2 linked regions of the Neurospora crassa OR74A genome follow. The protein of the gene in region 2 binds, or shares a complex with, the protein of the main gene of each other region. Links are inferred from orthologs where the notes say so. Each region holds a gene or a part of one and is shown on either strand. Other genes may lie near its edges.

What was found.
Region 1: NCU03572 (region 2) and NCU07290 share a complex: the UniProt entries of both Schizosaccharomyces pombe proteins name them as parts of the RSC complex. The link is inferred for Neurospora crassa OR74A from reciprocal best matches to the Schizosaccharomyces pombe genes ssr3 and rsc7.

Annotation. Positions count from the first base shown.
Region 1 is NC_026504.1:4,505,366-4,509,708, forward strand, and holds NCU07290 (nuclear localization protein), read right to left. Parts: upstream 3,036-4,343; 5' UTR 2,902-3,035; coding exon 2,847-2,901; intron 2,681-2,846; coding exon 1,663-2,680; intron 1,594-1,662; coding exon 1,083-1,593; 3' UTR 361-1,082; downstream 1-360. Other genes in the region: NCU07289 (transcription initiation factor IIB), read right to left, coding at 3,837-4,343. UniProt on the Schizosaccharomyces pombe protein: Component of the chromatin structure remodeling complex (RSC), which is involved in transcription regulation and nucleosome positioning. Controls particularly membrane and organelle development genes.
Region 2 is NC_026502.1:186,302-190,723, forward strand, and holds the start of NCU03572 (SWI-SNF complex subunit), read right to left. Parts: upstream 3,021-4,422; 5' UTR 2,645-3,020; coding exon 2,407-2,644; intron 1,572-2,406; coding exon 1,291-1,571; intron 1,229-1,290; coding exon 35-1,228; 3' UTR 1-34. Other genes in the region: stk-23 (serine/threonine protein kinase), read right to left, coding at 3,665-4,123, 4,238-4,422. UniProt on the Schizosaccharomyces pombe protein: Component of the chromatin structure remodeling complex (RSC), which is involved in transcription regulation and nucleosome positioning. Controls particularly membrane and organelle development genes.

The sequences.
Region 1 (4,343 bases), on a different chromosome or scaffold from region 2:
TCCGTCGCAAGTGAAGGGTCCGCTCTCTTCAAGTCTCTCACTTGCTCTGAACCAACCTAATATGGATGAGCAAACCGATCGGGCCTTCCTCGTTGCTTGTAGGTCAACTATTTATCCCCCACCAGTGCCCTTTGTCTACTGTTTATGAGGACCAAAGTGTTACCATTGCTTCAGCCAAGTGTCCTTGAGAACCCTTAGCTACTGACCGTAGGTACATCGACGAATGTATCCATCTGTGAGTTATGCGTTTTGCTGAAATGGGAATGAACGTTCGCCCGACGGCGTAAAGGGTCGTCACGCTCAACGTTGGGAGCAGAAGTCATAGCAGTCGAGGCTAAAGCGCCATATGTACTTCACTCAAATCATATTGTCATTACCCAACATGAGATGATGTGGCCCTAGGTTTGGTCTTGTTGATATAGACAGCAGCAGTAGCTTCAGTCGTTGTCTAATGAGTGAGACGAAGTTCAATTCACCAATCACCAATCTCCAATCACCCTGATCAGCGCAGCCATGGACACCATGGGCAGTACACAGAGGAACTTGAGAAGATGTCTACAAGCTGGGTATATTATAAATAGACAAGAAGTTACCAAGCACTTCCTCGTTCCCTTGCTCTAACCCGCAATGGCTCAGCTGACAGATACTCGACCTGTAAGCATTGAGATGAAAACCAGTAGGGCAAACAAAATGGAAAATCAATGATGGATGAGAACCACCTCCCCAACGACCAACGTGGTTTCCACTTTTCGTTACAGTTGTCCCCTCTTCGGATGCTCCCAGCCCGAGCGCATCGCAAGTCATCCGGGTCCCTTAACCTTCATCATCTTGAAAGTGAAATACCGAGAGCATAAAGATATCCCCAGAAAACCCCTTTCAGTGTGGTTCTTCGTCACGTCCATACCAGTTCCAATGCAGTCTACTAGACTAGTGGAAGGCAAATGGCTGAGCCTGAACTGACCAAATGCAATAGACCATTCGTCATCACGACAATCTAAGCTTGTATCCAAACAAGAACGACAAGCTAATGTCTGTGTACAGGTCTTCAGACGCGACATCTGTCGAAAATCCACAATGCCTCCTCACATGATATTCATGCTATAAGGCACAATAGCCTTATCGATCACCGGCTCGCGGCGACACGTCGTATCCTTCTCGTCACCCCACTTGCCGAACCACTCCTCCTCATTCTTCACCGCACTGTCGAAAGCTTTCCTGCATTCCTCGGGCAGCAGATCCCTGATATCGTCAGGTACGGCGCTCAAGCCCTTGAAGGGAGCCAGGAAGTCGGCACGCGCGGAGGCAGCCCGATCGGCGGGCGATGTACGGAAGGGTACCTCGTAGGCGGCCGGGGAAATGCCAGCGGGTGGCAGCTCGATTTCCACGTCGGTGATGAGGAAGTTGCGGGATATGGAGGGCTTGACAAGAGGAAGATCTGAGGACGAAGACGAGGCGTCTTCAGAGTCTACCACCTGCGTGATGCGGGCATGTGTAGGTTGGATGATGTGCGGGTAGTGCATTTGGTTAGTGTGAATGTCATAGACGCCGTTCAGGTTGGCGCGGCGGACGCTGGTGAGGATGCTGTTGAAGTTACTGCGTAGAAGAGATGTTAGTGTTCCTGTGTCCGGTAGCAAGGAAACTGCCGAAGAAGAGAATGCCTACCTGGCTTCGCGAGCATGTTCCAATTGCCAGTTAACGTCGTTGACAGCAACACGTCGTTTGGTTGGGGCGACCTTGGCGTTTTGCTGTGGTACTGACGGTATATTCGAGTGATAAACTGAGCTTGCACCGTGCCACGCCACATATTGGTTCTTGTTGTAAGGCTTGCCTGGTTCGAAAATATCGTTGGGATCGGCGAGCTCGCCCTCAACGACACCCTCCTCACGGGCCTTGGCGACTTCGTAGTCATCAATGATCCGTCGTCCGCCGACAATGATTAGGGCGCCAAACTCGCGGAACACTGAACGTGCTGTCACAATACCAATCGTACGGCCCTTGTAACTGTGTGGGATGATTTCTCGCTCGATCATGTCCCGCTTTTCCTCGTCGTTAACGATGATCTTGTAGAGTTTTCTGTGTTTCGTGAAAAAGAGATACGAGTCTCTGAAGCCGACACAACGTGCTGGCTCGGTTGAAAGCATGTATAGACGATCTCCACGGCCAAGAACGGTGAATGTACGGCAACGATACTCGCGACCATCCTGAAGATTTCCTAGCTTATCGACCTTCTTCTCACCCTCCGGGTCCTCGGGAAGGTCCACCTCGTCGTTGATAATGTCGAGAACGGTACCATCTTTGTCAATGGATTGCTGGGTTGGTTGAAAATGCTGGCCCTTGCGGCCGCCTCTGCCTCTCCATCCTCCGCGACCGCGACGGCGAGGAGCGTTTTCGTCACGATTGGGGGGTTCGATCGGCAGAGTGTCCCAGTCGGGAGGTCGGTTCTTGGGTGGTCGCCCCAAGCGTCGGCGGCGGATGACAGGCTCTGGGGGAGGGCTTGGGCTCTTGCCCGACTCGTCTTCCTCTGGGGCTTCCTCTTCCTCGTGTCCATCACCACCCGACTCATCATCCTTCTCGACATCATCCTCGCCGTCTCGTTGTGATGGTTCGGCGTCGTCTTGATCGGCATCGGGCATAGGCTCATCCTCGTCGTCTAGGCCTTCGAATGTCTTTGGGGTGCTTTCTGGTTGTGCATGGCTTTGATAAGTAACTGCTTGTTTGAAATGGAAGGATTTGCGCGTGGCTGCTGCATTCGTTGGAGTGGACCACACAATATGGAATACATTTGTACAAGCAAAGGGAGGGAGGAAATGCCAAATGATAAACGATGATGAAATCGAGTAACTTACCGAGGGCCTGTTGTGCGCGTTTCGCGGCTGCGCGGCCTGATCTCCGGGAAGGCATGATTTCGAAGCTAACGTATTGTATGCTTGGCGATAAACTGTGATCGGGGTTTGGAGTGTCGGCGCAGAGCAAGGCGGACGGTTGAGTTGTGTTTGGGGTTTGGAGGTGACGATGTCAAAATTACTGAGACGCGGTTGACAGGTGGGAGACGTGAAGCCGCTGCAGTCAGTCCTGCTAGTGGTGGTTTGCGTGTGAAGCGACTGCCCATTGACCCACTTGGCGTGTACAGTGTAGTGGTCAAGCGCACTGTGAATTCCTTTACGGTGCGATGACAAAGCCCTTCAACCAGATAAACCAAGCACTGTACTGTGTAAGTCATCCCTTTGAAGTCCTGGATTCCAGCTTATGGACACATTCGACAAACCTGTCTCTTCTAGACTTCATGTTTTCCATATGGGGAGTATTGATATCTTGTATTAACTATCTTGATTCCCCAAGTCCCTGTCGGTGCCAAGTCAAATAGCAAATAACGAAAGAATTCCCCTGAATGCCTCGAGGAAAGATCAACTTTCAAACCCGAAAATGCCCTTCCGATATGCCTGGGTAAGTAGAAGCTGATCGATCTAACCTCGTTTCCCATTTTATGCTCATAGTGTGCCAGGCCCCTTTGTCCTGCCGCGCTGCAACCAGCCTCCGCAGCCACCAGCCCTATTCTGGGCATATGATAACCTGCTTCTCTTCCGACCACCAATATGCTTCCAAGCTTCTCGAAAATCCGGACGTGCCTGTGGATCGTCTTTTGCCCGTAAACCAAAGTTTAAAAGCCACCACGTTCTCAGTAGGATAACCTTGTCATCTCAGTGAGGCTGACCACCCTGTCAAGCTTAAGAAAACGCAATGCTGTCACGCCGCGATTCTGTCCCGTGGAAATCAAGAAGCGGAGCCGCCCACCAAGAGCCAACGCTCTATCCAAACTACCCGCGCACCCGAGGCCCCTAGTTCGCAGGAAGCTTGTCGAGGTTTGGCACTCCCTCAGGGAAGATCTCCTCAAGCAGCTTGTCCTTCTTGTTATAGAGGAGACGATAAGCTGTTTTGACGGTTCCGTCACTGACACCAGCCACTGTCGCAATCTCCTTGGACGTACGTGACTCGTTCCTGATGTGGGATGCCATGTAGATACACGCAGCGGCGACGGAAAGGGGAGAACGGCCAGCCAGCTCCGAAATAGTGCTGGTCTTGTCGGCCAACTGGCGGGCAACATCCTCGACCGCAACTGAGTTGCGGAAATTGAGGTTGCTGCAGTAACGAGCGCAAAGCTCGGTAGCTGTAGTAGATCCCTTGCCCTGGTATTGCTGGTTGAAGGTGGGGATGCTGGTCGTGATTGCATGCTCCTCGCCTCCGATCTTCTGGAGGAAGGATTCCAACTGCTTGAAAACCCTGCCAATCTCCTTCTTCGAAACCTTGGTCAGGCTGTAAATCTCGCGGAACGTACGCGGCACTCC
Region 2 (4,422 bases):
CCTTATTCATCTCCATTTCCTCACCGTCCTGCGCCTAGCGGTGCCCCGCCGTAAACCCCTGCTTACTCAAAAGCACATTAACACTCTCCCGCGCATTACTCGTATCCCAAACACTCCCCTTCCCACCCCTCCTCCACTCGTCGCCCACGGGGTCTTCCGCCGCCGCCCCGGCCCTCGTGGCTTCGCCCATAATCACCTCTAGATCCCGCTTCTGGCTTGACAACCAGTTCTTAACGAAGCCGACGGGGTCGTTGGCCATAGACGTTAGGAACGTGTGTTTGGCCTTGGAGTCGCCGACGGCTTGGATGAGCACCGCCAGGGACTCATCTAGCTGATGAATCTCGCGGAGCGTTTGAGCGTACGAGGGGTTGTGGATGAACGGCACCAAGTGCTTCGAACGCAAGGGGTCGTCAACGGAGACACGGATGTCGTAGATGGTCGGTTTGGGGGCGTCCGGCGCGGAATGGAATTCTTGGTCCACGCGGATGGTATAAGGGAGCTTGATGGGCGGCAGTGGTCTCAAGTGCGGGGTGACGTATTCGTTCAGCTGGGGAATGTGTCCCGACTCTCTCCCAATAAGCTTCTGCAGCAGGTCGTCGCACCGAAAGTTGCGCTTCTCGTCGTCTTCTTGTAGCTTCATCAACTTGATGTACTCGAACAAGCCCGCGACGGCTTCCTGGCGGGTTGCCTCCGTCATATCGATCACGTCCGATAGCTCGGGGGAGAGCTCGTAGCGCTCCGGGTCTTCGTGGCGGTAGAGGTTGATGGTGATGTTAACATTCTCGTCCCCGTGGCGCTTGAAGGTCAGCTCGTCAAAGTCGGCCGAGGCGGGCAGGTTGGAACCGGCGGGCGTGCGCTCGGGTTTCTTCCATTCTATCGCGGTGGTGTCGACGGGCAGACGGCCCGAGGCGGTGGGCTGGTCGAAGTCGACTGTGAGGGCTTTGAAGAAGTGGGAGAAGCGGTAGCGCTGGCCGGGCTTAGCGGGGACGGGTTTCGCTCCAGACTTTGTTGCTGTCTTTGTGCTGTCGTCGGTTGTGTCCATCTTATCTCCATCCTCCTCGTCCTTTGTGGTCTCGTCTTCGTCGTCGAGTAGTCGGCCTTCGATCTTGACGCGGTATGTGGATTCGAGGTTGGAGGGGAAGTCGAAGCTGTCGACGTTGAAGTTGTTGTTTTGCCAGTACTGGTCTTCGACGCTGTTGGTGATCCAAACGCGGAGTGTCTTATACCGCTGTTGAGTGGCGTCAGTAATGGTCAAGCCTCCTTCGAGACAAAAGAAGTGACAGTGTATACCTTTGCATTCCTGCTAACCGAATCCACGATATCCAACCTCTTGCGACTCATGGTAGCATCCAGCCGCCTCTCGAAATCGCGTAGCTTCTTGTAAGCCACAGCGACATCGCCCTCGCCCACCAAAGTCTCTTCGACGCCATCGGGTAGGGTCTTGTCGGTAGGTTTGCGACTCCGGAGCTTAGCCAGGTGGTTGACGGCCTCGCGACGGTGTGATTCTTGTTGGATTTGCGCCTGGGTGATGGGCAGTTGGTGGTGAGCAGGACCGGCCGACATCATGGGCCCTGTGAAGAGAGAAGAAAGACCGGAAGAGGTTAGTTGAATGTGTAATCAAAGATTTGCGGTAATGTGGCGGGCGAGAAAATGGGGAGAAGCCAAGGGTCGTCGTCGGGTGGGTGTAAGAGAAAAAAATAAAATAGAAGAAAATAATCCAGCGGGGAAAAGAGTATCCAAGAAAGAAAGCCAGGAAGAAAACAGGGCAAGGTGCGGTACACAAGTTTGTTGTCAAGAATTTCCTTGTGTTCCAAGATGCAAGAAGCAGGAGCGTGGGATTTCGCGCTTGCAGTGTGTATGTATGTTGAATCTTTCCCTGTTAAGCTCGTCGCGAAACCTGAAGCACCGACGTTCAGCTCCGTCGTTCGACCGCGGCCGACGGGGTAGACTTGTATGTATGTGGAGGTAGGCGGGAGGAGTGTCCAGGCACACGGCACACAAGGGAACGAACGCACGACGGGGGACCCGGACCCAGTCAGTTTGAATCGTCGCCCCTCCCACCCGTCTCCATTCAAGTCCCAAGTCCCAAGTCCCGCTTCCCAAGACTCAAAAAAGATAGACCATCGTTCCCCCGAACGTCCGGGTCTAGCATTGGAAAGGTTTGGAACTAGTCGATAGGTCGCGGTGGAGCAATCTGCAAAAAGCGGAGATCTTTGACGTTTGTCCCACGCCCGTTTCATGCATCAAACATGTCCTCTTTCCATCATCATCATCATCAACAACAACTGTTCATCTTTCCCCTTCCTCTTACGCTTGGCACTCAATCGAAAGAAAAACGAGGGATACAAAAAAACAAAGAGAGAGAAAAAAAAGAAAAAAAAACGAAAAAAGAAAAAAAAGACTTACCAATCCCCCCTCTCCTCGGCTGTGGCACATGATGCTGCTGCCCCCCTCGCGGCCCCCCTCCCGGCCCTGCATGATGATGTCCCACGGCCGCCTGCGGAGGCAAAGGGACCTGTGAATGTTGCGGCGGCCCTTGCGGCGGTCCAACAAGTTGGGGGTTGTGATGACCCGGTGGTGGTGGTCCGATGGGTTGTGGTGGTCCTGGTGCGTATCCACGGTACTGGGGCTGCAGGGGCTGCATCTTGTCTTGTCCTTGTCTTGTTCTTTTTTGTGTTTGTTGAAACTCGCGTGTACTCGATTTCGGTTTCGTGTTTGTTGCGCTGCGGGGAGGAGGAGAAGGACTTGGTAACCGAATTTCCCACTTGGTTGCTTGTCACCTCTTCTTCTTCTGCTGTATTACGTGCTTCGTGTCCTCCCTTGTAGTTGTGATTACGCGTGTAGTACTACTGTACTGAGTAGTCGGTGTTGGGTATGGATTCTTCGCTTCGCGTCGTACGTGGTTCCGTTCTTGGTGTCAAGGATGGACCGAAGGGAAACGCGTTTCGATCGCGTCGTTCGTTAGCTGCGGCGGGCGGGCTTGTCGCAAGTCGCAGTCGCAGTCGCAGTCGCAGTCCGGGGCCAGCAATTGATTGATGGAGGTTCAGAGTTGGGGTCGGCGGGTGGAGCCAGTAATTGTTAAGGCGCAAAAGATACATTGACCAAGTACCGCATCCACAGGGCAGGAAGTTTGGCAAATGTCACGTCTTGGCACTCGTGGTAGGGTCATGTGACACCCCTGAGAGAGACCAGTTGACATTTCAACGTCCAACAAAAGATGGTCAAGAATTACTTGTACTAAAAACAAACAGATAAAGAGAAGCAAAGAAAGAATCGCTGACGAGGTCACAAAAAGAAAAACCATACAACAAGAATCTAGCGTCCGAATCGCAATACCTTTTATCCAATATTTGCTTTTGCATGTACAAGGTGTGAACAGTATTAGAATTTCGTACCTTTCCCTTCTCCCCATCTTTCGCTGCCTTGGCTGCTGCTTGGCTGACTGACTGACTGACTGACTGAATGATTGCCGTCGCTGTCTGCTTGCTTGCTTGCTTGCTGTCTTTATATGCTGCTGCTGCTGCTGCTGCCTCTCTCTATTTGTTTGTTCCTTCTCATCGGATAGAACCTTGACCTTGGTTCCTCATCCACCACCACCACCACCTCCTCCTCCTCTTCTACTTCTTCGTCCTCCTCCTCCTCCAACCAAGGTCAAGGACAACCTTCAAAAAGCAGCCCCCAACCCATTCTTCGACTGCCTCCGACTGAACCGATTGCGCTTTGTAACACTGCTGCTATCATCCAGGCTCGCCTGACTCTTGGTCAGCTGATTGCGGCCCGATCGGTCACTGATGCTGTACCCGCCCTCTCCGCCACTAAAGTTTCCATGGCCCCTTCCATTGTGATGATGTCCACCTCCGCCACCGATATTCACCATGGAACCCGCCGGGCTGGACGACATGGACATGTCTCCAAAGTTGTCGTTGGAACCTACCAGGTTTTGGGAAAGCGCCAGGTCCTTGGCCCGCTCCAGCGACTCGATCCACTCGTCTACTGTAGACTTGCTGCTGCTGCTGTTGTTGGCACCGTCTCTTCCTGCTCCTCCGTCTGATGACTTGTCGGATTTGTCCTTGTGTTGTTTTTCCGAGGACTTGGGTTCTTCAAAGGTGTAGTGTACGCCGCCCTGGATTTGGGGTGTCCTTGAACATTAGCATCAATATCGATATCACCTGATGAATAAAGGGGGGAATATATATTCCACAGGATATCGGGGAAAGGGGCTGGTAATTTTACTCACCGTGTCAACACACCAAACCGGCTGGCCCTTAGCGTCGATTTGGGCTTTCCACGTGCAATCCGAAGCCAGAAGTGAAATCTCCTGCTTCGCCTTCTTCTCCTCGCCGCCGGCTGGTGCAAACACGATACGGCCGCTCGAGGTGATCATGACAAGCCGCTGTCTCTTCTTGGTGGTACTGCCGCCAA